Linked DNA regions of Macaca fascicularis. The main gene of each other region encodes a partner of the protein of the gene in region 4 in a complex. Links are inferred from orthologs where the notes say so. Each region holds a gene or a part of one and is shown on either strand. Other genes may lie near its edges.

Evidence for each region. Proteins that work in one complex are often made in the same cells at the same time.
Region 1: MED24 (region 4) and MED8 share a complex: the UniProt entries of both Homo sapiens proteins name them as parts of the mediator complex. The link is inferred for Macaca fascicularis from reciprocal best matches to the Homo sapiens genes MED24 and MED8.
Region 2: MED24 (region 4) and MED31 share a complex: the UniProt entries of both Homo sapiens proteins name them as parts of the mediator complex. The link is inferred for Macaca fascicularis from reciprocal best matches to the Homo sapiens genes MED24 and MED31.
Region 3: MED24 (region 4) and MED7 share a complex: the UniProt entries of both Homo sapiens proteins name them as parts of the mediator complex. The link is inferred for Macaca fascicularis from reciprocal best matches to the Homo sapiens genes MED24 and MED7.
Region 5: MED24 (region 4) and MED19 share a complex: the UniProt entries of both Homo sapiens proteins name them as parts of the mediator complex. The link is inferred for Macaca fascicularis from reciprocal best matches to the Homo sapiens genes MED24 and MED19.

The regions. Positions count from the first base shown.
Region 1 is NC_088375.1:191,388,300-191,392,236, forward strand, and holds the start of MED8 (mediator of RNA polymerase II transcription subunit 8), read left to right. Parts: upstream 1-1,137; 5' UTR 1,138-1,321; coding exon 1,322-1,677; intron 1,678-2,332; coding exon 2,333-2,477; intron 2,478-2,981; coding exon 2,982-3,122; intron 3,123-3,309; coding exon 3,310-3,391; intron 3,392-3,753; coding exon 3,754-3,937. Other genes in the region: KICSTOR complex protein SZT2, read right to left, coding at 1-19. UniProt on the Homo sapiens protein: Component of the Mediator complex, a coactivator involved in the regulated transcription of nearly all RNA polymerase II-dependent genes.
Region 2 is NC_088390.1:6,692,436-6,696,377, reverse strand, and holds the start of MED31 (mediator of RNA polymerase II transcription subunit 31), read left to right. Parts: upstream 1-1,142; 5' UTR 1,143-1,195; coding exon 1,196-1,223; intron 1,224-2,009; coding exon 2,010-2,087; intron 2,088-2,366; coding exon 2,367-2,463; intron 2,464-3,942. Other genes in the region: C16H17orf100 (uncharacterized protein C17orf100 homolog), read right to left, coding at 455-811. UniProt on the Homo sapiens protein: Component of the Mediator complex, a coactivator involved in the regulated transcription of nearly all RNA polymerase II-dependent genes.
Region 3 is NC_088380.1:163,931,908-163,936,117, reverse strand, and holds the start of MED7 (mediator of RNA polymerase II transcription subunit 7), read left to right. Parts: upstream 1-1,410; 5' UTR 1,411-1,469; exon of another isoform or gene 1,470-1,865; intron 1,866-4,210. UniProt on the Homo sapiens protein: Component of the Mediator complex, a coactivator involved in the regulated transcription of nearly all RNA polymerase II-dependent genes.
Region 4 is NC_088390.1:61,093,043-61,096,542, forward strand, and holds part of MED24 (mediator of RNA polymerase II transcription subunit 24), read right to left. Parts: intron 2,131-3,500; coding exon 2,048-2,130; intron 1,757-2,047; coding exon 1,670-1,756; intron 4-1,669; coding exon 1-3. UniProt on the Homo sapiens protein: Component of the Mediator complex, a coactivator involved in the regulated transcription of nearly all RNA polymerase II-dependent genes.
Region 5 is NC_088388.1:15,892,750-15,897,014, forward strand, and holds the start of MED19 (mediator of RNA polymerase II transcription subunit 19), read left to right. Parts: upstream 1-1,465; 5' UTR 1,466-1,498; coding exon 1,499-1,715; intron 1,716-4,265. Other genes in the region: TMX2 (thioredoxin-related transmembrane protein 2), read right to left, coding at 874-1,062. UniProt on the Homo sapiens protein: Component of the Mediator complex, a coactivator involved in the regulated transcription of nearly all RNA polymerase II-dependent genes.

The sequences.
Region 1 (3,937 bases), on a different chromosome or scaffold from region 4:
CGGGGCGCTCCGAGGCCATCACACAAGCCCTCCCGCGCCGGCCCGGGCCCGTGTGTTCCACTCTTGACCCCTGACCTGGCTACCTCGGCACCCGGAAGGAACAGGAAGTGGGTGGGAGGGCCGAGTTCCAGTTTTCTGATTGGTGGACGAAGCCTTCTCAGAGGCGTTTGCTGACAGGAAACCGGAAGTGGAAATCGTTGCAGTCGCCTCGGCCGCCGCAATGCAGGTGAGAGCCGCGTTGGGAGTGCTAGCGGCTGGCCAGCTTCGGCTACAGGGAGCCAGAGTGGGCTGGCTAAGGAGAATGAAGAGTTGGGACTGAGAAAAGAGGGCAGAACCCACGGCTGATAAGGGAACGTGGGTTGGGGGGCGAGGTTAATTGGAGAGGGAGCGGCGCAGATGAGAGGTGGGGGTGGAGCTCGCCTGACAGAAGGCGGTCGGGCTAAATCCGGAGGGAGGAGGCAGCACTGACTTGCTTGGCGTGGGAAAGGATTAGGTTGTAATACGGGGAGGCCGAGATGCAGTCCAAGGAAGACGGCTCAGGAGGTGGTGGGTTGGCTCAGGCCCTGTCCTAAGCTGCTGGATGGAGGCTGTTGGATGCCGATATAGCAGGGGATCTAATTGGAAAGAAGCCCAAGCAGTGAGGGAATTGTGGGCCGCGGTGTCCGAAAGCTAAGCAGCTTGTAATGTGAGGCCATGGTGGAACCCAGGATCAAGTTCCTGTCAGGCACCTTAGCAGGTTTGCAAGACAGTTTTGCATCACTCTTCCCAGCCTGTGCCCTATAGTTGTTAAGGGTGAAGAAATGGAATAAAACAGGATACCACCGATGGGAAGGAAATGCTTTGCAGACCCCCGGCATTTTAATTTGTTTGTTCAGTGCTTAGAAGCATGTGCGGTTTTGGTTTTCATTTGTCACTTAGTTTCCTGCAGCTGGTAGTCTCAAGAAATGTTATTGGGTTGACCGAGCTTGTGAAAGAGGCACGGGAATATTGACACAGAGATAGATGGGTGCATATTAATTCAGCGAGGAGAAGGTTGAAACATGAAATGATGAGAGCAGATGGAAAGCTGGAGTGGTTGGTGGGGGGAGGGAAAGAGGAGAGCAGGGCTGGTATTCAGAGAAGTCTTCATGAGTAGGCAGATTTCCCAGAGACTGACAAGAGAGCCAGGCTCACAAATGCTAGGATGGAGGAAGCTGGAGTGCATGTGCTACAGAGGTGCACATGAGATAATGATCTGGCATTAGGTTTGTCGAAAATGTCTCAATGAGGGAGTGTAGGGTGTACCTAATACAGAGAAAAACCAGGCATAGATTAGGAGCGGATGGGAAAAAGGAATCAGTTGGTGGAAGTACTTGGGTCAGGCAAACGGTTGAAAGGTCTCAGGGTTGATGCTGTCTATAACCCAAATACCACAGATAGGAAACAACCTGGTTATCCTATGCCAATGAGATCCTGTTACCTGACTGGTGTTTGCACACCATCTCCTTGGCTTTTCAGCCCTCCTTTCTATGTGTCATACTCGTTTATCTGGGTAACCAACCTGTTCCTATTGGTGCAGAGAGAGGAGAAGCAGCTTGAGGCATCATTAGATGCACTGCTGAGTCAAGTGGCTGATCTGAAGAACTCACTGGGAAGTTTCATTTGCAAGTTGGAGAACGAGTATGGCCGGCTGACCTGGTAAGGGTTGCCAGGGCAAGCTAGGGAGGGCTTATGGGTGGGGGGGCCTAGCCTTCTGATGAATAGGACACTTCTAATGATGTAACCATTTATCAGTTTACAAACATCTTTTGATTTGGAAAGAGCTGGGTTTCGTAACATTTAGCAAGTGGCTTCCATGGCAAGGAAGTAGAGAAATGCTCGGTTTCCTAACCCAAGTTCATTATAGCTTTCAATTCTTACCCTTTGACTTCTCTGGTGAGGAGGTCCTCCTATTACAGCTCTATTTGTGCTGGATCTCTTGCCACAAATATGGCTGAGTCCTTTAGATCCAACCTACTCTGAAGTGTGGATCCTATTTCCAGGCTGGAAAGAAGGATTTTACCGGGTTTCTGAAGTTTTAGTTATAACAGTATAGTCCTATTTTGCCACTGTTCCTCACCTCATTCAAACAATGAACTGGATTTTTTCTACATCTGTTTCATAAACTGAAACTATGTCCCTCTTTCATAACCCTGTCATCCTTGTTAGTTTCTTCCCACTTAGGCTAGTCATAGGGCTATGAGACTTTTGGGGATAAATCCGAGTGTTCCTAGCCTGAAGGAACTAGGACTATTTTACTAAGAACCACCCAAGGAAGGGGTGGAACATTCTGACACCTGCTTACTGCCAACAGGCCATCTGTCCTGGACAGCTTTGCCTTGCTTTCTGGACAGTTGAACACTCTGAACAAGGTCTTGAAGCATGAAAAAACACCGCTGTTCCGTAACCAGGTCATCATCCCTCTGGTGTTGTCTCCAGACCGAGATGAAGATCTCATGGTAAGAGCAGAAAAAGAATACAACTTGGGAAATTAAGGAGTTTTTTAGGCTTCTTTACTATTTAGGGAAATTAAGTTCTTAGCTGAGAACTTAGAAATAATTTTGGAGGCCTTGCTTTTTGTTCTTCTGAAGGTGGGAGAGCCACTCCCAAATAGTGTTGTAATAACCTGAGGGGTATGTCACCAAGGCTGGTACCTTCCTTCTCCAACATCTGTCTCAAGCCACAAAGTCTGCCCTTTGGTGACTTTGTCTGTTTCAGTCTTTGAAACGTGGCAGACAGTGATAGTTTAATTTGCCTCTAGGTCTGGTAGAGATAGGGATGTGAGAAGACACAAAAAATGAAGGCTGGAGTAAAGGAGATTGTGTCCTAGGAAACTAGATATTATGTCTTAGGTTGTATTTTCCTTGAAAATGCACTGTTTGCCTGTGGATGGGACTGTATATCAGGCCAGATAGAATCTTCTTGGAGTGCATAGTAGGATCAATAAAATCTGTGTGTTGCAGCGGCAGACTGAAGGACGGGTGCCCGTTTTCAGCCATGAGGTAGTCCCTGACCATCTGAGAACCAAGCCTGACCCTGAGGTGGAAGAACAGGAGAAGCAACTGACGACAGATGCTGCCCGCATTGGTGCAGATGCAGCCCAGGTTGGACTGAGTCACTGCCTTGCTGCCCCATCCCCATCCCATCATGAGAAGCTAGGCATTACCATTCCTGTCTAGTAGGGATGCATAGTTGGTTGCACCTAAGCTGCTTCTGGCAGAACCCAAGGAATAAATTTGTCCATATCGTTTCCTAGTTACCCTAATCTCTGCACAAATTTGTGTGTTACAGAAGCAGATCCAGAGCTTGAATAAAATGTGTTCAAACCTTCTGGAGAAAATCAGCAAAGAGGAGCGAGAATCAGAGAGTGGAGGTATGGTGGACTGGTGGCAAAACAGAGAAGGAGAGGTATATAAGATCACTGGAATGGGAATGGTTGTTTCGAGAGTAGTGAAGTTAGGACACAAGAGTGAACTGCTTTAGGGTTTGCATCCATTCTGTTAGCCTTTTGTATTTAAGGCCAACCCTGAAGCAGTGGAGGAAATGGGCAAAGTAAGAAGAGAGAATTCTGAGATAGGCTTGGGGGTCCTCTGGCTCTTTTTATGGGCTGTGAGGGAGTCTAGATGCTGCTGAATTCAGAACTCTAAACCCTGGCACTCATACTGGTCTTCCAGCTGCCACGTTCAGTCCTGCATCAGAAACATACTTCAGGATCCCCACTTACTTTTTCTTCAGGTCTCCGGCCAAACAAGCAGACCTTTAACCCTACAGACACTAATGCCTTGGTGGCAGCTGTTGCCTTTGGGAAAGGACTGTCTAACTGGAGACCTTCAGGCAGCAGTGGTCCTGGCCAGCCAGGCCAGCCAGGAGCTGGGACGATCCTTGCAGGAACCTCAGGATTACAGCAGGTGCAGATGGC
Region 2 (3,942 bases), about 54 Mb from region 4:
GGCCATTAATAATTTATGAGTCTGTTCCTTGCCCCTCAAGTTTCTAGCAGGCATGGAATCATTCCACAGGTCATGATTTCAGTTTGGTCTCTGTTCCTAAGGGGTGAAGGTCTTCTGAGGGCTGTGGATCCCAAACTCACCTGGCTCAGAGGCTCAAACAGCCTCTTTGTCCATCAAGCCAATTTAGACAGCATCCTGGGCATGAAAATCTTTTGTGCTGGCTTCAAGTGAAAATAGTTCACTGGGTCAAAAGTAGGCTGGTCCAAGACGCAGGATGGTCAATAAACGTTGGCTGTGTTCAGAAACTGCGGCTTGGCTGTTTCTTCCATTGATTTATGGTTTGTTTCCATGAAACCGAAAATGATTGGTCCACCTGGCAGCTGGCTGGCAACTGGAGGCCTTTCTGTCCTGGCTGAGGGCCCTGGCCCCTTGGTGGCCTTTGGGAAGCAGCATCTCATCGGGCCGGTTTTTCGTTCTGGCGGGCGGCCGGCTTGGCCCGCGGGGCTGGGCTCTCCGCGCAGTGCAGAGCCGTCTCCACCCTCAGGGACGAGGCCCTGATGTGGCGGGAGGTCGTTTCCGTGCGCTGCGAGGAGGATTCCACGTGCCGGGAGGACGCCTCGAGGATGCCAGGGAGCCGCTTCCCCAAGGGGGAGAGGGAGGGCCCCTCGCTGCGGCGCTGGGAGGTCTCCACCCGCCGGGACGACGTCTCCACGCGGTGGGACGAGGTCTCCACGCGGACTGTGGACGTCTCTGTGTAGCGGGTGGTCCCCACCCGGGGAGAAGACTGCTTGGCCCCTCGGGCTGAGGCCATTCTGCCGGCGTGAGGGGGCCAAGGAGGCCTCGGGGCACCCCCCAGCCCAACGGTCACCGCAGGCAGAAGAGAGGAAAACTACGGTACTGCCATAGCCGGGAGCGCCACAACACGATGACGTGGAAACACCATGATCCTTCCAAGGCTAAAAACACTGGGCTCCTGCCCCTCAGGCGCTCCCACGGCCCGGGCCCCGCCCGCTCGCTATTTTGAAGCCAGCGCGGGTGGAGCCATCCCAGGGCTGGCGGGATGGGCGGAGCCGCCCGGCCCCATATCCCACAGTGCCCCGGGACCGGAAGAGAGAGCCGTGGTTTCCGGAACTTCCCCCGCCACTCTGGGCTTTTGCTCGGTCAGGCTGGTGGCGTTTTGGTGTCTTCGTTTGTTATGGCCGCTGCCGTCGCTATGGAGACAGGTGAGTAGCTCTCTGATCTTGGAGTCTTCGCAGATGGAACTCCCCTCGGTCCAGACGGCTTCCCCGTGGCCTCCTTCCAGGCCTTAATCTCGGCAGGGTTAATATTTGGACAAGGAGGTGAGAAGGCTCTTGTAGCTTCTAGAAAGACTAAGGTACTCTTTGCAGTTTTCCTAATTTGGTTTGTTCGCACATCTTTGCTATTCAGACACCACCCTACCAGCTCCCCGGCGTGGGTGAGACTAAGGGAGAGGACTTGTGTGTTAAACCGTCTCCTCCTTGATTGGTTTTCTGCTTCTCACATGAGCTTGCCTAAGTTTGAAATATCGTCGCCGGACTTTATGTGTCATTCTGCTACTGGTGCTTCTTATATGCATACGCTCCATGATCTTTTAGGCTCTACGCAGTCTCTTGCATCCTAACTTTTTCTTAACTGATTCAGCACGTAGCTTTTGCAAAACTTAATCACTGTTAACAATTGTTATAACGCATTATTAACATAGGGGAAGCCATAGTTGTTACAGCCTACCTTAGTGATCTTAGGAATTCTCCGTTTGTGTTGCTGCTTTCTTTGATGATTTCTCTTTAATTTTAGAGAAACTTCTAACTCCTTTTAATCAGGGCTCCGCTTTTCTTAGATTTCGAAGAAAGGTTTATCTCCCCCAACTCCCAGTTTAGGAAGACCATCTCGGCATTAGTCAGGTTTCTTTATTGCTGTTTCCTTACTGCAAATCAGTATTATATACAGTGACCCTTACTTTCCATGATTTTTGCTGTCTTGTCTCCTAGATGATGCTGGAAATCGACTTCGGTTTCAGTTGGAGTTGGAATTTGTGCAATGTTTAGCCAACCCAAATTACCTTAATTGTAAGTTGTTAAGCACCTCATTAAATTGAGTAGCTACTAATGATTTCTGACAGAAGAGTTGCAATTCAAAATAGTATCTACTTTTACACATTCTCAATTGAATGATATTACACTTATGCTGGTATATAGATATAATTGCGCACTGGGATTTGTGTTTTGAATTCAATGTGTGTTGGTGGTGGGGGTTTTATGTAAATAGATCCTTTACATTAGGGGTAACAAAGCATAGTTTAAAGATTGGTTTGACCTACAGACATTTTTTTTTTTAATGCTTTTCAGTTCTTGCCCAAAGAGGTTACTTCAAAGACAAAGCTTTTGTTAATTATCTTAAATACTTGCTTTACTGGAAAGACCCAGAATATGCCAAGTATCTAAAGTAAGTTTAATTTTTATAATCCTAAGCATGTGTATACTTTATGATATGATAGATTTCTTCGTTTCACATTGGCAAAAATGTATTTGGAATCTCTCCACTTCTTTTCGTTGTCACCATCTTAACACAAGACAGTCTCATCTCTAACTTGTATCACTGCAGTAATCTACTCCCTGGTTATCTCTGCTTCCACTTTTACCTTCCTGCCCCCCCTCCACCCCAAACCAAACCAAGCAAAACAGCTTTCTACACAGAAACCAACTTAGTCATTTAAAAATATAAATCAGAACACTTTACTTTCTTGCTTAGAACCTTTCCATGACTTTCCATACCATGCAGAATAAAATCCAGTCTCTTTTCTTGGGCTAAAGCCCTATATGATCTGGCCCTGCCTTGTCTGACCTTGTCTTTCACCACCCTCCCCATCTCACCAGGTTTCTGGTCCCGAAGAACTCACAGTCTGTAAATGAAGTGACATAAGCCATGGGCTGAAATTAAAAGAGGGTATCTGTAAGGAAGGTGTTTCTGGGGTTATTTGGAGGAGGTGATCTTAACCTGAGTCTTAGAGTTGCTATCTTTTATTTAAGGCCTCTTATGTGCCAGAAACAGTGCTAAATGCTTCATATGCATTAACTCATTTATATATATATATATATATATTTACCATTCAGGTCATTCAGCGACACTTTCGTGTTAAGGCTTACTGAATTGCAAGAAGCATATAACCACAAACCTATTCCCTTTTAATGATTAAAAAAAAAAAAAAAAAACAACACCTTGAACTCATCCCTGCTTTGTGTTAAGCAGGTAGAAAGCAATAGTGAACCTTAAAAAAAAAAAAGTTTGAGAGGAAAATGTTTCAAACTTGTTTCGAAGTCACTTTTCTGTGTCCAATAACAATTGACTCACGAAGCATATACATCTTATATTGCCTGCAGGACCCTTTGCACCTTTTCTGGCTTTTTATCCATTTAATAATCCAAAGAAAAGACTTTTAAGAAAAATAGATTTCAACAAATGTTGTATGTATGTAGATTTACAGACTCAGTGTTGGAAGCCTCAGCCACCAACACGTTTAATCTTACCCACAGCGTTGCCGAGAGATGGTCACCTACCCTCTGGAGGTTTTCACTGAGCCCATGTTACTCTGTCAGGGACAGCTGATTTGACTGTTAGCCAGATGGTAGAAAGTTATTCCTTATATTGTGATATAATGTCTCTCCTTGTAGCTCTAGTCTGATTGTAGTGTTATCCTTCATCTATCTGCAGTCACATGAAGTCTATTTGTCCCACTACTGGTGACATTAATTTTGATAACTTGGTTGTCCCTGGATTGAGCTAGAACCATTCTATACCCTCTTGAGGACAACAACCTTCCAGATACTTACATTCAAGAGAGATTGCAGATTAGCCCCTTTTGGGCATTTTATTCAGTCTGCAGAAGATTTTAGTTTTGTTTTTTTTTTTAATACTTGCCAACAT
Region 3 (4,210 bases), on a different chromosome or scaffold from region 4:
TTTGAATAGAAGAGCGTTAAGATTGGTTTTATATTTTAAGAAGGTGTGGTAAATAGACTAAGGCAGGACAAAAATCAAAGAAATCCAGATGAGAGATAATGGCAGCATGGCATAGGACCATACCAGTAGGGACGGTGGTCAGTCATATTTGGAACTTTATTTACTTATTTTTAAATAGAGCTAATGCAAAAGGCTGGTATGGTAGTTTCGGTGGGGTATGGGAGAAAGGAGAAAAAGGTGATTCCTTAGATTGAACATTTGCAATTGAGTAAAGTGCAACGGGGTAAAGATGTCTGTCACCACTGGATATGAGGGTCTGAAGTGCAGAGGAAACGGTGTTCCAGGGCCTGCATGTATCTGGGTGATATCTGACTGAGAAGTGGTTGGAGAACTGAGTCCTGGGGCAATCCAAATAATCAAATGTGCCAAATGCTGCTGACAGAGGGAGTAAAACGAGGACTGGGAACAAGCATTGGAAGTCACGGGTGCAGGACATATTGGGGTCAGCAGTGAGGATGAATTTCTTCAGGAAATAAATTTATATGTGCGGGGGAATTAAAATGGGGGAGGCCGGGCTACGTGGTTCACGCCCGTAATTCCAGCACTTTGGGTGGCCAAGGCGGGCGGATCACTGTAGGTCAGGAGCTCGAGACCAGCCTCACCAACATGGTGAAACCCTGTCTCTACTAAAAATACAAAAAAAGGAAAAAAAAAAAAATTAGTCGGGTGTGGTGGCACATGCCTGTAATCCCAGCTACTTGGGAGGCTGAGGCACGCGAATCGCTTGAACCCCGGAGACAGAGGTTGCAGCGAGCCGAAATCGCGCCACTGCACTCCAGCCTGGGCGAAAGACACTCCGTCTCAAAGAAAAAAAAAAAAAAAATAAAACAAAATAAACCAACAAAAAACCCTGCATATCTGTATTTTCGAATTTTTATGTAAGATGTCTTCATTGTATGGGTTAAATTAAAAAAGAAAAGACAAAAGGAATGGAACTACCAGCTGCGACTGTCAGCAGAAGAGTTGTAATGCGGGCAGCGGGTGGAACACACGAACAACCTTTGCTAGGTTTTCTTTGGGAGGTTATTTTCGCGTCATAAATGTCTAAATTCATGGAAGTCTTACAAGAGCATGTTACATATTAAAATATAAGATTTTTTCTAGTCAATAAGGGGTCTATAAAAAATAAAGCAATAAGATGTCTTGTTTAATTTTATGCCTTAAAGAAACGAAGAAACAACCCTCACTTACTACTTTTAAAAGTCAGTAAAAGGGGTGGCGATGGCAGGAGTCGAATATACGCAGGCGCAATAGCGAGCGATCGGTCTGAGGCGGATCTAGAATCTCGTTAAAGGACAGCTCCTACAGCCAATCAAAGACAGAGTCGGTGGCTTCTTCCAGGAGGAGACCGGAAATTGGTTTCGGCTGCAGAGGGGGAAGGCGGCTACCAGTGTAAAGCCAGAGTTGAGGTGAGTGGGCGGCAACGGCTTGGGGCCCCTGCGTGTGTGCGTTTTTTTCTTCCGGACCCCGCGGTTTCCTCTGTGCTGGGCTGGGAACTGGGGAGGCATGGAGGAGTTCGGCCTCCGAAGACGCTCTCTCGTCTTTCTGTCCCGAGTCTCTCCGAGAGCGCGGCCTCCCCGCCGCTCGTGGAGGTCTCGGGATGGACAGCCTGGAGGAGGGGGCTCTTAGCGCTGCAGTCCCAGGGCTTCCTCCGTGTGGGGACGCCGAGCCGGAGTGGAGGTTGGGAGACGTGGTGTCTAGTCCCCTCGCCGCTGTTTTTCTAGGCTGTGTGGCCTTGGGCGAGTTATTTGCCCTTTCTGGCCCTTTGTAACATGAGAGTAGCCCTCCCTGCCCTTCCTTCTTCTGGGAGCAGTTGTGAAACAGCTGAGATACGGGGGCAGGCGAGGGCAGTAGATCCCAACCAAGCCTAATCGTCAGGTCCATCTGGAGAGGTTTTTAAAGCGACATACCAGGGCCCATTCACAGTGGACAGAATGAATCAAATCTCTGGGGCTGGGACCCTGGAATATCTGTCGTCTTCTGGTGAGGCGCCTTCTCCCCCAGAACAAACACTAGATGTTGGATCTTGAGTCTGAGAACCAGTTATGATGCTTTGCTCTGGTTTTATTAAAATAAGACTTCCATCGCCTTTGAAAAGTTCCATCTAGAGAGACAGTAGAGAAAAATATAATTTTTGTAATATGCAAGTTCTAATTGTACAATTAGATGCTTCACGGCTTAGAGATATAAGAGAGCTTGCCCTTTGGAGCTAAAGGGACCTGGGATAAGAATTCCTGTTGTACCATTTATTAACTTTTTGATCTGGGGCAACACTTCCCCTCATTGAGACTTGGGATCTTCACCTCTAAAATGAAATTGATAATAGAACTTAATTCATGGGACCCTGTGGTGGCTCACGCCTATAATCCCAGCACTTTGGGAGGCCGAGGTGGGCGGATCACTTGAGGTCGGGAGTTCCAGACCAGCCTGGCCAACATGGTGAAAACCTGTCTTTACCGAGAAATAAAAAATTAGCTGGGCGTGGTGGCACACACTTGTAGTCCCTAGCTACTCAGGAGGGTCATGCAGGTGAATCCCTTGAACCCGGGAGGCAGAGGTTGCGGTGAGCCCTGATCATACCACTGCCCTCCAGCGTGGGAGACAGATTGAGACCTTGTCTCAAAAAACAAAACAAACAACCTTAATTCATAGAATTGTTATGAAGATTATGTTAGAGAGGCCATAAAACAACAGTATCTGTCACGTAGTTGCCTTAGGAAAATGACAACCTAAGTACAGGAATGCACATCGTGTAGGAAAGTACAGAGCAGCACTCGTCACCTAAAAAGGTTTGAGTGGAATGAAACGTAAGGTGTCAAAAATTGTGTTTTGAAGTACCAGATCAATGTTAATTCCTTGATTTTGGTAATTGTGCTGTGGGTAGAAGAAAACATTCTTGTCCTGGGAAAACACATTGAAGTATTCAGGGGTGAAGGAATGAGAAACCAATAAAGCAAATGAAGGAAAATGTTAACATTTGGAGAATCTGAGTGAAGAATATGAAGTGTTCTTTGTATATGCATGCACTTTTTCTGTAATCTGAATTTATGTTATAAGTTTTAAAATGTTGGCTGGGAGTGGTGGCTCACACCTGTAGTCCCAGCACTTTGGGAGGCCAAGGCAGGAGGATTGCTTGACCTCAGGAGTTCAAAACCACCCGGAGTAACATGGCAAAACTCTGTCTCTACAAAATATACAAAAATTAGCTGGGCGTGGTGACATTTGCCTCGTACTCCCAGCTGCTTGGGAGGTTGAGGTGGGAGGATGGCTTGAGCCTGGGAGGTCGAGGCTGCATCATCCTATGCACTACTGTGGCATGGTGGAAACTCAGGGCTGCACCATGCCTGCCCTTAGTACCTCACGAATTCTAAGTATAATATTGCTTCTAATAGAATACTTGCCCCACCTGATGTTAGAGGGTGTTATATCTTGAAACTTTGATAATACCAGTGTAAAGGAGCACTTCAGAATCTTCTCATTGGATGGTATATCTAGGCTTAAGGTAGAGTAAGTAGAGGTTATTATGGCCATAGAAGATACTGGGTTTGAACCTGGGGTTTGAAATTTCTGTGATAGTTGTAGGGAAGTTAATGTGTCCATACAGGCCGGGCGCGGTGGCTCACACCTGTAATCCCAGCACTTTGGGAGGCCAGGGTGGGCGGATCACCTGAGGTGGGGAATTAAGAGACCAACTTGGCCAACATGGCGAAATCCTGTCTCTACTAAAAATACAAAAATTAGCCGGGCATGGTGGTGTGCGCCTGTAATCCCAGCTACTTGGGAGGCTGAGGCAGAAGAATTGCTTGAGCCCAGGAGGCGGAGGTTGCAGTGAGCTGAGATCGCACCACTGCACTCCAGCCTGGGCATCAGAGCAAGACTCCGTCTCAAAAAAAAGAAAAAAAAAGTTAATGTGTCCATATAAAATTGCATAGTTTACTGTGACAAAAAGGATATGGAACTGAATCATTTCATTCAGGAACTTTGGATAATACCATGTGTTTAGTATTTAGCAGTGTTAATTTTGTCAGTGTTTATGAGAGATACAAGTAAGTGTTTGCTATTGGAAATCAATCTGTAACATAAAGCAAAAGTGATTGTGATACGAGATTGGGAGACAACATGTGTAGTTTGGTTATGGAGGAGTAGAGAA
Region 4 (3,500 bases):
TTGCTGTGGACATCACCAGTTGGTCAAGGAAGGGAAGAGGAATGAAGAGAAATTCTTGACACATTCCCTCGTTCAAGCCCAGAAGGAAATGAGCAGAGGAGGTGGGAAGCATGTAAGAATATCCAGATTGGGGTGAAATTCTTTTTTTTTTTTTTTTTTTTTTGAGACGGAGTCTCGCTCTGTCGCCCCGGCTGAAGTGCAGTGGTGCGATCTCAGCTGAAGTTTATGGACGCATAGTCAATGTCGCAATCATTGATTTATCCTGAGTCTTTTTTTTTTTTCGAGACAGGTCTCACTCTGTCGCCTAGGCTGGAGTACAGTGGTGCAATCTCGGCTCACTGCAGCCTCTGCCCTCCGAGCAGCTGGGCACTCACCACCACGCCAGGCTACTTTTTTGTATTTTTAGTAGAGACGGGATTTCACCATGTTGGCCAGTCTGGTCTCAAACTCCTGACCTCAGGTGACCCGCCCACCTTGGCCTCCCAAAGTCCTGGGATGACAGGTGAGCCACTGCGCCTGGCTATTTATCATTAGTCTTTTGTTTTTTGAGACAGAGTCTCGCTCTGTCACCCAGGCTAGAATGCAGTGGCATAATCTCAGCTCACTACAACCTCCGCCTTCTGGGTTCAAGCGATTCTCCTGCCTCAGCCTCCTGAGTAGCTGGAATTACTACTACTGTGTATACCACCACGCCCAGCTAATTTTTGTATTTTTAGTAGAGATGGGGTTTCACTATGTTGACCAGGCTGGTCTCGAACTCCTGACCTCATGATCCGCCCACCTCGGCCTCACAAAGTGCTGGGATTACAGGTGTGAAGCATTGCACCCAGCCTATCATTAGTCTTAAATGTTCTTAAAGCACATTTAAGATTAAAGGAAGATTCAGGATTTTTACTTATTTTTTTTTTTTGAGACAAGGTCCCACTCTATCACTCAGACTGGGGTGCAGTGGCATGATTTCGCCTCATCGCAACCTCTGCCTCCTGGGTTCAAGCAATTCTCATGCTTCAGCCTCCAGAGTAGCTGAGATTACAGGCACACACCACTATGCCCGGCTGATTTTTGTATTTTTAGTAGACATGGGGTTTTGCCATGTTGGGCAGGCTGGTCTTGAACTCCTGGCCTCCAAGTAATCCATCTGCCTCCGGCCTAGGATTTTTACTTTTATCAGAAAGATGGGTATGAGTTAAAGAGCAATGACTAAGAACGTAAAACTCTGGTCTGAAGACACCCATGCTTTTTTTTTTTTTTTTTTTTGAGACAGAGTTTTGCTCTTGTTGCCCAGGCTGGAGTGCAATGGCGTAATCTTGCCTCATCGCAACCTCCGTCTCCCGGGTTCAAGTGATTCTCCTGCCTCAGCCTCCCAGGTAGCTGGGATTACAGGCATGTGCCACCACAGCTAATTTTTTATTTTTAGCGGAGATGGGGTTTCTCTACGTTGGTCAGGCTGGTCTTGAACTCCCGACCTCAGGTGATCCACCCACCTCAGCCTCCCAAAGTGCTGGGATGACAGGCCTGAGTCACCGCACCCGGCTGGTACCCCCAGGCACAGTCCCAGTCACGTGCAACTCAAACTTTAGACAGGAGGTTGAAAGGCACCCAGCAGCCCCACCGTAAAGAGAGAGAGGTCAAGGGGCTCTTGGGGTAGCCCAGGCGCGCTCACACTTACCGCTTAGCCATAAGGCTGTTGACACTGGCCTCAGACAGAAGCCCCTGCTTGCCACATTCTTGGAGCAGGAAGTTTGTACAGTCACAGCTGTGAAAGAGAAAGATGTGGAGGGAACTGGGCACCTGGCTGGGAGGGCGAGGGGTGGGAGTGGCCAGTCCCTGAGCAGCATCCTCCCTCTTTCAGGTGAGGAAAATCTGGAGGGCCTGAGGGACAGTAGAGGGGCTCTGGGGACTTGGCAACTGTGGGCTGCTGCTTCCTGCCCCTGCCAAGGGGAGTGAACAAGGAGACAGAGTCCCCTGAGGCTTCTCTGGCACAGAGATCAGGGGAAGAGCCCAGAACCCCTTCCAGTAGGGTAGGGGTGACCAGGGGAGCTCATACTTGCAGCGCTGGTCAGCTTTGTCCAACAAGGGTGTGAGTTTCAGCAGGAACTCAAAAGCACAGTTGACATCCTCAGTGAAGTCCTAGAAAGAGGCAGAAGTGTCCACCTGGTTTCCAGGGCCACCAGGCCCTGATCATCTCAGGCAACCTTGTCTGCTGGAGACATCAGCCTGAGCTGCCTGGCTGCCTTCTGCCTGGAGCCTGGGTGTATGCTGTGGGTGCACACACACGCTGAAGCACACACACACACTGAAGCACACACATGCTGAAGCACACACATGGCAAAGCACACACACACTGAAGCACACACACGCTGAAGCACACACACAGTGAAGCACACACACTGAAGCACACACACAGTGAAGCACGCACACGGCGAAGCACACACACACTGAAGCACACACACGCTGAAGCACACACACGCTGAAGCACGCACATGGCAAAGCACACACACACTGAAGCACACACACGCTGAAGCACACACACAGTGAAGCACACACACTGAAGCACACACACAGTGAAGCACGCACACGGTGAAGCACACACACACTGAAGCACACACACGCTGAAGCACACACACGCTGAAGCACGCACACGCTGAAGCACACACACGCTGAAGCACGCACACGCTGAAGTACACACATATGCTGAAGCACACACACATACTGAAGCACACACATACGCTGAAGCACACACGCTGAAGCACACGCACATGCTGAAGCGCACACACGGTGAAGCACACACACACTGAAGCACACACACACTGAAGCACACACATACGCTGAAGCACACACACTGAAGCACACGCACATGCTGAAGCGCACACACAGCGAAGTGCACATACACTGATGCACACACACACTGAAGCACACACACGCTGAAGCACACACACGCTGAAGCAGACACACGCTGAAGCACACACACGCTGAAGCACACGCACGCTGAAACACACACACTGAAGCACACACACGCTGAAGCACGCACACGGCGAAGCACGCACACGCTGAAGCACACACACTGAAGCACACACACGGCGAAGCACACACACGGTGAAGCACACACACGCTGAAGCACACACACGCTGAAGCACACACACGGTGAAGCACACACACTGAAGCACACACACGGCGAAGCACACACACGGCAAAGCACACACACTGAAGCACACACATGCTGAAGCACACACACGCTGAAGCACACACACGGCGAAGCACACACGGCGAAGCACACACACTGAAGCACACACACGCTGAAGCACACACACACTGAAGCACACACACACTGAAGCACACACGGCGAAGCACACACACTGAAGCACACACACGCTGAAGCACACACACGGTGAAGCACACACACTGAAGCACACACACGGCGAAGCACACACACTGAAGCACACACATGCTGAAGCACACACACGCTGAAGCACACACACGGCGAAGCACACACGGCGAAG
Region 5 (4,265 bases), on a different chromosome or scaffold from region 4:
CCTCATGCTATGCACGTTAAAATAAAATTTCTGTGCCTTTCTCCTATTAACGTGCCCTTTGTCGGCTGATTTTTCAACAAACCCTCAGAGAGCTAAGGGGAAGCTTTGCCTTGGCCCTTACATGCTATATAGCAGAGGGTAAAGTGCTTTAAGTTCATGTTCTGAGCAGTCCCTCCACCCATTCCAAGGAAGCACAGCAAGGAGCTTGGGACACTTCTCAAAGAAAGCCCAAAGATTTCTTTACAACTTATTTTTTACAATTCCTTTACAGTAGCCCCAAAATTTTATCCACTTTCGCATCCTCAGGATCAAGCAGAGTGCCTAGAGTGTACACTCTAGAAATGTTGATTGAATTAAGAAACGGCTGACAGTGTGTGCAGGTAGTGTGGCCACAAGAATAGTTTCAAGTCCCAGGCACTCATTAGTTGCATGACCTGGGGCAAGTCGCCTAAATATACCAAGATCCATTCCTTCACCAATGAAACAGGACTACTACTACTTGCCTTCCCTACCTTACTGGCTCCTCAGGAGGCTTTACATAATGAGCGGCACTGTAAGATGCTATACACGTATATGTACAGTTTTGACAGGGCTGTTTCTTAGTCTAAATGGTGAAATGGAAAGAAACCTGGACTCAACAGTCAGAAGCTGTTGGGCCGTTGTACAGGGCTACGACTAACAGGTTCCGTTTTCCCATATTAAACACAAAGTTTAGTCTCGACGATGTTTCGGACTCTGCACTTTACAGTCTGTTAAATCCGCTACAGGCTCGGAACCTCAGGTGTCCTCAGAAAGGTAAACCCCAGGGTTCCCAGATGCACCTGCAAGGGCAGGGACAGTCAAGGTCGCGGTACTGAGACGCGGGACGCTCACCCAGTCAAAGTCACACGGGTTACCGTCTTCGCGTTGGGTGGGCAAACCGTCGCAGAGTGGCGGCAGTTTCCTCACGAGTAGGAAGGCAGCAGAGAGCAGGGCCGACAGAAGGTAGTAAGGTTGGGCAAGCCATCGTGAAAGTCGCGGCACCGAATACACCAGAGCAATTAGAGGAGCCAAGACCGCCATCTTTTCGGCCGCAAGGGCCACTGCTCACCGGCGTCGTAGGTCCGGCCCCGCCTCCCCCACCATAGCGACTGCTATTGGGCTACATCTCAAACGTACGGCCTCTAAACCCGGATGTAGTTCTGTCAACGCTGTGGTATGTCAGAACCCAAAAAAGAACTTAATATCTTATTGGTTGGTCTAGCTGTCGCTTTATCAGCTTAAGTCATTTTATTGGACTGTAGCTAACGTAGCTAGCAGAAGACTCTAATAAGGTTAAATAGCACTTCCTGAACGTTCTCAGAGAGCGACGGAAGTAGTTGTTGAAACAAGGTAGGCGGTGCCTGAGGCATCCAATGACAAGCGGTTCCTTGAGAAAGAGGTGGGTATTCCTTAAAGGCATTGTCCAATGAAAATTACCAACGCCAGACACCGAGACAGCGCCGGGGCGGAGGGGACGATGGAGAATTTCACGGCGCTGTTCGGGGCTCAGGCTGACCCACCACCGCCCCCAACCGCACTAGGCTTCGGACCAGGAAAGCCTCCACCCCCGCCACCGCCTCCTCCGGGCGGGGGACCCGGCACGGCTCCGCCTCCCACCGCGGCCACGGCCCCTCCCGGCGCGGACAAGTCAGGAGCTGGCTGTGGCCCTTTTTACCTCATGAGGGAACTGCCAGGTGAGTACTCGGCCTTGCCAAAGCCAGCCAATCAAATCTTAGAGAGGAGGTGTTGGGCGTGGCTCTCAGCCGGCTAACGGAGGTGCGAGGTAACCTAGGCAACGCATACCCGGACTGTGGAGCCCTAAGTCGAAAGGGCTATTAGGATTCACAAGCAGAGGGATGAGTTGAATTCAACCAAAGGGATGAATGGCGGGGAGCGGGGTGGTGCATCTCCGTGACTGTCTTTTGCACCATGTCCAGGCTGTGTTCCTGACACTGGTTTATGTCTCCCTAAAAAATTATCTAGGGCTGGGCGCAGTGGCTCACGCCTGTAATCCCAACACTCTGGGAGACGGAGGCGGGCGAATCACCTCAGGTCAGGAGTTCGAGACCAGCCTGGCCAACATGATGCAACTCTGTCTGTACTAAAAACACAAAAATTACTTGGGCGTGGTGGCGTATGCCTTTAATTCCAGCTACTCGGAACCCGGGAGGCGGAGGTTGCATTGAGCCGAGATTGCTCCACTGCACTCCAGCCTGGGCGATAGAATGAGACTCCGTCTCAAAACAAAAACAAACAAACAAAAAATCAAGAGTTTGAGTTTGGAACTCGAGAGGCCTGATTTAATATCTTTGGGGACCTAAAGTTTTAGTTACAAGTCTCCCACAGACTTGCTGTGGGTTTGGGGCAAGTTGCCACTCTTCCAAGATTTCTGCGTTTCCTGGTGTCATCAAAGAAGGGGTAAGAATCGAACCAAACTCTTTTCATTCAAAAAATTATTTTGTTGAGTACCTATGTACCAAGCACTTTTCTAAATGCTGGAGATACAGTTGTGAACGAGACTGACAAGATGCTTGCCTTTTTTGGAATGTACATTTCAGTGTAGGAGGCATTGTAAACAAGATAATGTCAGAGAGTGGTTAATGCTAGGAAGAGAAAACATTATAAAAAATTGAAGGTGGCCAGGCGCATTGCTCACGCCTGTAATCCCAGCGCTTGGGTAGGCTGAGGCAGGAGGATCCCTTGAGCCCAGGAGTTTGAGACCAGCCTGGGCAACATGGCGAGACCCAGTCTCTACAAAACATACAAGATTAGCCGGCCGTGGTAGTGCTTGCCTGTAGCCCCAGCTACTCAGGAGACTAAGGGAGGAGAATTGCTTGAACACAGGAGGTCCAGGCTGCAGTGAACCAAGATTGTGCCACTGCACTCCAGCCTGGGCAACAGATGAGACCCTGTCTCTTAAAAAAAAAATTGAGGGGCAGAACTACTTTAGCTAGAGTGGCCAGAGATGCTCTCTCCACATAGCTAAAATTTGAACTAAAATGTAAGCATAGACAAAGGGCCAGCCAGCTATGGACAGGAGGGAGAGATAATTCTAGATACAGGAAATGAGGTCAGAAACCCTGATGTGAGAAAAAGCTTAGAATATCTGAGGGACAGAAAATCAGTTGGACTCCAGTGAAGTGAACAAAAGGAAAGAGTGTTAGGAGAGAGATGAAGCTGGGAGAGTTAGGCAGAGGCTTTTATAAAGCAATAAAGGCATTTAGATTGTAAATACAAAAGGAAGCCATTTAAAACAATTTTTTATAGAGACAAGGTCTCACTGTGTCACCCAGGCTGGACTGCAGTGGTACAGTCATAGCTCACTGTAACCTCCAATTCCTAGGCGCATGCTGTCCTCCCACCTCAGCCTCCCAAGTAGCTAGGACTGCAGGCATGTGCCACCACAGTTGGCTAACTTAAAAATTTTTTGTAAAGACTGGGTCTTACTGTGTTGCCCAAGCTGGTCTTGAACTCCTGGCCAATGACAGTCCTCCCACCTTGGCCACCCAAAGTGCTAGGATTATAGGCCTGAGCCACTGTGCCCAGCCAAGGAAAGCCATTTTAACATAGGAACTTGGTCAAATGTACTTATTTAGAGAAGTAAATGGATACAGGGTGTTAGACGTAGAGCTGACAGGGTTGAAAAGCTGAATATAGGGCCAGGTGCTGTGGCTAACGCCAGTAATCCCAGCACTTTGGGAGGCTGAGGTGGGAGGACTGCTTGAGCCCAAAAGTTTGAGACCAGCCTGGGCAATATAATGAGACCCCATCTCTACAAAAAATAAAAGTAAATTAGCTAGGGATAGCAGCGTACACCTGTAGTCTCAGCTACTTAGGAAGCTGAGGTGGTAGAATCACTTGAGCCCAGGAAGTTGAGGCTGCAGTGAGCTGTGATTGTGCCACTGTGCTCCAGCTTAGATGATAGAGGAAGAAGCTGTCTCAGTTAAAAATACATATTGTATATAGAAGTGAAGGAGATAGAAGAATTGATGCCTTTTTAAGTTTTCAGCTTGAATAATTGGGTGTATGGGTATGAGACTTGGAAGATGAGGAAGGAACAAGTTTGAAGAGGTGGAAATCGAGTTGTTTTGGACATGTTTGGTCTCCAAGATGCTGCCTTTCTCTCTCTTTTTTTTTTTTTTTTTTTTCTCCTGAGACAGAGTTTTGCTCTTGTTGCGCAGGCTGGAGTGCAATGGCGCAATCTCGGCTCACTGAAACCTCCGCCTCCCAGGTTCAGGCGATTC